Linked DNA regions of Coturnix japonica. Each later gene encodes a partner of the first gene's protein in a complex. Links are inferred from orthologs where the notes say so. Each region holds a gene or a part of one and is shown on either strand. Other genes may lie near its edges.

Region 1 (3,143 bases):
GTGCTCCTGCTCTGCCCTGAGGCCGCATCTGCAGCACTGGGTCCAGCTGTGGCTGCTCAGCTCCAGGCAGGGAGCTGATGTAGGGACATAGAGATGGTGGAGGCCTGGAGGAGCATCCCCTGATGGGAGAAGGCTGAGAGCCCCGAGGGCTGTTCACCTGCAGAGGCTGAGAGGGGATCCAGTCAATGCTTATCACCATGGGGGAGCCCCAGAGGTCCCTTCCAACCCCTGTGGTTCTATCACTCTCCTGATCTATGCCCCTTTATCCCCTTGCAGGACCGCCTGAGCCGCTGCACGCTGCACTGCTCTGACAGAGCCAAGGATGCCCTGGAGGCGGGCGGTGGGGAGACAAGGGCACGCTCCCAGCTCGACGCCTGCGTTGCTGCCTGTGGGGACGAGCACCTACGCCTGGTGCCAGGCATGGCCAAGAGGATGCGGGATGGCTTGGCGGCCCTACAGCACTAGCGGGTGCTGTTGGGGTGGGGGAAGGTGGTATTAAAGGCAAGGAGCTGCACTCGTGGTGCTCGAGGGGTGCTGGGGGTTTGGGGTGTGGGGGTGCAAGGTGTGGGGTGGTGGCTGTGTAATGTATGGGGTGGGTGTGTGCAAAGTATGGGGTGATGGCTGTGCAGTGTATAGGGGGTGGGATGAGCCATGCAAATGTGCAGTGTATAGATAGGGTACAGGTGTGCAAAGTGTGGGGTGATGGCTGCGTAAGGTGTGTGCAGGTGTGCAAGGTGTGGGGTAGTGCTTCTGCAGGGTGTGGGGCACTGTGTGCAAAGGGTGCTGGTGTGTAAAGGGTGCAGTGTGCAAAGGGTGCAGTGTGCAAAGGGTGCAGTGTGCAAATGTTGCAGGGTGTGCAAAGGGTGCAGGTGTGCAAAGGGTGCAGGTGTGCAAAGGTGCAGTGTGCAAAGGGTGCAGGTGTGCAAAGGGTGCAGGTGTGCAAATGGTGCAGGGTGTGCAAAGGGTGCAGGGTGTGCAAAGGGTGCAGGGTGTGCAAAGGTGCAGTGTGCAAAGGTGCAGTGTGCAAAGGGTGCAGTGTGCAAATGGTGCAGGGTGTGCAAATGGTGCAGGGTGTGCAAAGGGTGCAGGGTGTGCAAAGGGTGCAGTGTGCAAAGGGTGCACACTGCCAGCTGTGAGCCGATGGCTGTGCAAGGTGTGCACGGTGAGCCGTGCAGGGCTTGCAATACGTGTATCAGTGCCTTTGTGTGTGTGCAATGCCGTGCATACAGTGGGTGTGCAATGCGCGGTGCATGCAATGCAGCAGAGCTGCAGGTCTCCATGCACGTGCTGCATGGGGGCCGCTCCAAACGCGCACGCGCGCCGCGTCCGAGCGCTCTGATTGGCTGCCGGCGAGATGCGAAGGTTGGCGGGAAAAGGGGGCGGGGCTTTGGGCGTAGCGTGCGACGTGATGACGTCATTACGCGGCGCGAGCGGCAGCGGCGCTGAGGAGACGCCATGAGCAAAGCGCACCCACCCGAGCTGAAGAAGTGAGAGCTGGGCCAACATGGGGATGAGGGGGGATGAGGGGGGATAAGGGAGGACTGAAGGGGATGAGGGGGGCCCAGAGGGTCGGGAGGGGCCGTGGGGTCCGGTTCGGGTTCGGTCTGGGTCCGGTTGGGCCCGCAATGATGGCGGTCCCGACCCCACACTGATGCGGCCTGCTCTGTTTGCGCTCTCGTTGCAGGTTCATGGACAAGAAGCTGTCGTGTGAGTCCCGCTGTTATAACGGGGTTGTGCCATGAGCCCACATTCACAAAGCCCCCCCCCCCCCCCCATCCCTCCCTTCCCTTTTAACCCCCCCCTCCCCTTGTTTCTGAATGAGCCGGTTTCTCGTAGTGAAGTTAAATGGCGGCCGCCACGTGCAGGGGATCCTACGGGGCTTCGACCCCTTCATGAACCTGGTGATCGATGAGTGCGTGGAGATGGCGCCTGGAGGGCAGCAGAACAACATCGGGATGGTGGTGAGTGCTGGGGGGGATGGCAGCCCCCAGGCCCACTTTGTGCCTTGGGCTGGGGGCTTTGGGCTTTGGGCTTTGGGCTGGGGGCTTCCTTTCAGTTCAGGCCTCCCAGTGCCCATCCGTGGCCTTGGGCACCTCTAGGAATGGGGAACAGCCTCAGGAGGGCAGAGCAGGATGGGACAGAGCCCTCCGTGTCTGCTGCAGTAACAGAGGGGTGGCAGCCCAGCTGGCTGTGAGGTCACAAGAATACATTGCTGTCTTATATCAAGCTCTCATCCACCTTTTCTATCAACCACCCTCCTGCAGGAGCCTTTTCCAGCCGGCTGACTGCTGCCATGAGCCCCTGCAGTTCTCTCATTCACTTCAGCTCTTGGAGCTGCACATGCCATGCAGCTTTCTAGGAGGAAAAGTCAAAGGGAAAGAAAACCTTCTGTGCTGTGGGCATAACGTGCTTCATCTCACCTCCTGCTGACAACTTCTCTTTGTAGGTAATACGAGGAAACAGCATCATTATGCTGGAAGCTTTGGAACGAGTATAGTGGCAGAGGAACCCTGTAGTGACCCGACCCCGTTGTGTTTTGTTTACTCACCTGAACCTAATGAAGCAACCACAAGTGTAAGCTTATTTTTTGTTAAATAAATTTTGTACTGGTTGGTGTAACCCGTGTGAGCTGTGCTTGGTGGAACTGAAGCCTGGGGCAGTTAATCTTGTGAGTGCAGCAGTGTGTCAGTGGCAGCTTTAAAGCTGGAGGATGGCTTTCAGGCAGCTTTATTTCTTTGAGTGGGTGTTCAAATGATACTGGCTATATCTTTAAACCCCCCCCCATAAATAACAGGCTGTGGCACTTCTATTCCTAGCATTGCTCTGTAAAGAGTGAAGGGGACTGAAATATCTGTCCTGCTCAAGTGTTTGCCTGCAACTTTGTGCTGGTCTCCACCTCTGTGCTGAGGCAAAAGTGGTTTTGGTTATTCTCATTGCCCCCAAGCAGACAGAACAAAGCATTGACCCCAGGGTACCAGCAAGCTTCTAAGAGTTGAATCGTGTTCCAGCACGTACGGACTCCTGTGATGCTGCTAATCTCAGTGCAAGTCCTGCAATTTAGCTTTAATCAAGTGCATTCATCTTTTCTAGCACAGCAAGAGTGAGGCTACACTAGTGGAGGCTTGTTAGTGGGAGTTTGAGCT
Region 2 (3,547 bases), on another chromosome or scaffold:
GATTGAAATCTGTAAATAAAAGTCAGTAGTGTTTGAAGTAATTTTGCAGCTTCTAGTAAATAGAAATCCATGTAGATGACCAGAGTTCCTAAACTACTGCACAGTGTTAATTTATATTCTTATGTGTACTGAAATACTTGTTCTTATTTCAAGAACCTGATGTTGTCAGTGGGCATACTTCTGGTATTAAAAAGGCTTTATGGAGCAGTGATGACAAACAGATTCTTTCAGCTGATGATAAAACTGTCCGGTAAGGAAAAAAAAACCAAACTTCTAGTAGTTTTCTCTGAAGCTCACTTTTACTTATTGTGTACAGTTTCTGTCAGAGGATTGTTATTTCCTTGGGAAATAGTAATAAAGGCTGTTTGATTCTAGATTAGAATATGCACATGTAATCCAGTTTTTCATGTTGTTGAAGATATAATTTTTCTGTTAATTCTGATTTGCACCATAAACGTGTCCTCCCTGATAGGAAGAGGTGGTCTCTGATAACCGAATAGTAGAATTAATTTGATTTTTCTAATCCTAGAGGAAATTAAATTCTAGGTGAGGTCTTGTGAAGACATGCTGAAGTGTCTCTGCCTTGTCTTCTGCAGTCAAGCCTTGAAACATGCATTGGGCGAGGGTTGGGATAAAAGGCAGGGAAGCCTCTCTGGAGACAGTGCCTTCTTAATAATCATAACTGTCTTTCTCTTCCATGTGGTAAGTTGAGAAAGCTTTTCTGGTTTTGTAAGATAGATCATCCCCTTAAATGTAGATGGGCTAAAGCCTAGACAGACTTGGCTGCTAGGGAGATGAAATGATAAAGATCCTTCCTCAATCTATGCTGGCCAAAAAAGAAGGAAGATGTGCCTTGCTGCTTCCACAACTTTCTGGTTGATGTGATCAGCATCATCTCATGTCTACTTGTCTCGTTATTCTTATATTTATGGCATAGAGTAATAGTGGCTTTCTGCTTTGTGGAAGGGCAGTAGATATAGAGTGAAATCACAGTTGCAGTCTCCTTGTTTCTGTTTTGGCTCCAATTCTTTTTCAGTTCCTTCATTCAAGATAGTCAAGAGACTGGTCTTTTATTTTTTCTCTGAATTTTAGAAATTGAAATAACAGCATTGAGTTATTTAATGAAATAAGAAACTCATAATTTATAGAATGGTTTGGGCTGGAGGGGACCGTTAAGAACATCTAGTTCCAACCCTCCTGCTATAGTCAGGGACACCTCCCTCTACACCAGGTTGCTCCCAGCCCCTTTCAGCCTGGCTTTGAATGCCTCCAGAGTGGAAGCATCCACAACCTCACTAGGCAACCAGTTCCAGTGTCTACCCTCAAACCAAAGAATTTCTTCCTAATGTTTAGTCTAAATCTACTCTCTTCCAGTTTAAAACCATTTACACTTGCCATGTTCCTATGTGCCCTTCTAAAATGTCCCCCTCCAGCTTTCCTGTTGGCCCTTTCAGGTACTGGAATGTTGCTGTAAAGTTCCTGTAGAGCATTCTATTCTCCAGGCTGAATAGCCCCAGCTCTCTCAGCATGTTCCCGTAGGGGAAGTGCTCTAGCCCTCTCATCATCTTGGTGGCCTTCCTCTGGTCCCACTCCAACAGCTTGATATTCTTATGCTGGGTGTCTCAAAACTGGCCACAGTACCTCCAGGTGAGGTCTCATGCAGGTAGTTTAGAGGGGCAGGATCACCTCCCTCGACCTGCTGGTCACACTTCTCTTGTGTTGAGTTTCATCAAATTACACTCCCAAATCCATCTCCTCAGGTCTGTTCTCAGGCTAAAATCTGCTCAACCTGTGTCTGTGCTTAAGATTGCTTCAACCCCAGTGCAGGACTTTGCACTTGTCCTTTTTGAACTTTGTGAGGTTAGTGTGAGCTCACCTCTCAAGCCTGTCTGGCTTGAGATGCATCCCTTCTCTCTAGTGTGTCAGCTGTACCTCAGCTTGGTGTCATCTGCACATTTGCTGCACTCAATCCTACTGTCCATATAATCTATAAAGATATTAAATAGTACCAGTCCCTGAGGAATGCTACTCGTCACTGGTTGGATGCTGAGCTGTTAACTGCAACTCTTGAGTGCAACTGTCCAGCCAATTCCTAATCCACTGAGTGGTCTATCCCTCAAATCCATTTTCTCCATTATGGTGACCAGGATGTTGCGTGGGACAGTTTGTTATAATTTAATTTGATTTTAGCTTAGATATTCCTTGCCTGCCTAGGCAAAATGCTAAATTATATTAAACGAGTCTATTAGTTTCTTAAATTAGTATTATATATATATGTTTTGTGTTAAAAAGGCAGAATGCAATCTTAAGCTTTGCTTCTAGAAAGCTGTAATGCTCAGGAGACATGTAATAAAGCTTTTTGTCTTTTAAGAGAATCCTTGAGTAGTTAAGCAGTATGTGTACTGTTTAATGTAGTTGATACGTTTTAAAAGTAGCAGTATTTTAATGCAAACTTGTCTTAATTCTCATGTAAGTAAAGCTAAGCAAAGCAAAGAATGCTGCTGAAAATCTAAAGTGTCTGTAGAATATTCTTTATTGGGGGTTTTTTGCAACCACAGCATGCCATGGGTGGAGGTGGAAACTGGTGTGTTGAATTGATCTGAGAATCTTTCTTCTTTCTGATTTTTCTTAAGCCTCTGGGACAGGAGTACCATGACCGAAGTGAAGGCGCTAAATGTTGCAATGTCTGTGAGCAGCATGGAGTATGTTCCAGAAGGGCAAATACTTGTGATAACCTATGGGAAAACTATTGCTTTTCATAGTGCAGAAACGTGAGTCTAAAACACAGAATCTTTTTGAGTTACGGGTTTGATTGTGAGTAAAACTGACAATACAAGGCCACGATCATGAAGCTGTTAGAACCCATGTCAGTAGATATCTTTGCCTACCATGTTGTCAGAGACAAGGTCTGAAACAACTATCCTTTTCTAACCTAGTGGTCCCCGATTGTCTGCAAGATGGTAGATTGTAATGGATCAGTACCATTTTCATGGTTCAAAGCTAACTGGAGTTGTCATTAAATAAGATTCTCATCCAGAGTTCAATTTAGTGCTTTAAGAGAACTAATTCATACAGTTTCTATGATGTTTTAAAGCAAGTTGCAGTCATAAATATGTGCCAGAAAGTAGTATGAAATATGTGAACTTATCTGTGTGCTTTGCTTGTTCTGAACTTGTTGTTTCAAAACTTTATGAGCTTGACTTGCCAGTGTTAAAAATTTGTTTCAGAAACTGCATGTGGGTGTCTTCTGTCTTTCTTAAAAGCAACTATGAATTGTAGAATCACAGTTCCTTTGCTTTCAGGACCTGCTTTAAAATACCTGTTCTTTCTCCTCCCTCAGTCTAGAGCAGATTAAATCATTTGAAGCACCTGCTACAATCAATTCTGCATCCCTTCACCCAGAGAAAGAATGTTTGGTTGCAGGTGGTGAAGATTTTAAACTCTATAAATATGACTATAACACAGGAGAAGAATTAGGTATGTTTGACTTCAATAATAAAAAACAAGTTTTGACAAGTATTAGATAGATGATGTAGCAGCTAATGAA

What was found. The genes of interacting proteins can lie anywhere in the genome.
Region 2: SNRPG (region 1) and STRAP share a complex: the UniProt entries of both Homo sapiens proteins name them as parts of the SMN-Sm complex. The link is inferred for Coturnix japonica from reciprocal best matches to the Homo sapiens genes SNRPG and STRAP.

Annotation. Positions count from the first base shown.
Region 1 is NC_029537.1:791,455-794,597, forward strand, and holds SNRPG (small nuclear ribonucleoprotein G), read left to right. Parts: upstream 1-1,368; 5' UTR 1,369-1,455; coding exon 1,456-1,487; intron 1,488-1,684; coding exon 1,685-1,707; intron 1,708-1,836; coding exon 1,837-1,961; intron 1,962-2,446; coding exon 2,447-2,497; 3' UTR 2,498-2,619; downstream 2,620-3,143. Other genes in the region: protein FAM136A, read left to right, coding at 277-465. UniProt on the Homo sapiens protein: Plays a role in pre-mRNA splicing as a core component of the spliceosomal U1, U2, U4 and U5 small nuclear ribonucleoproteins (snRNPs), the building blocks of the spliceosome.
Region 2 is NC_029516.1:57,770,091-57,773,637, forward strand, and holds part of STRAP (serine-threonine kinase receptor-associated protein), read left to right. Parts: intron 1-153; coding exon 154-250; intron 251-2,633; coding exon 2,634-2,771; intron 2,772-3,340; coding exon 3,341-3,477; intron 3,478-3,547. UniProt on the Homo sapiens protein: The SMN complex catalyzes the assembly of small nuclear ribonucleoproteins (snRNPs), the building blocks of the spliceosome, and thereby plays an important role in the splicing of cellular pre-mRNAs.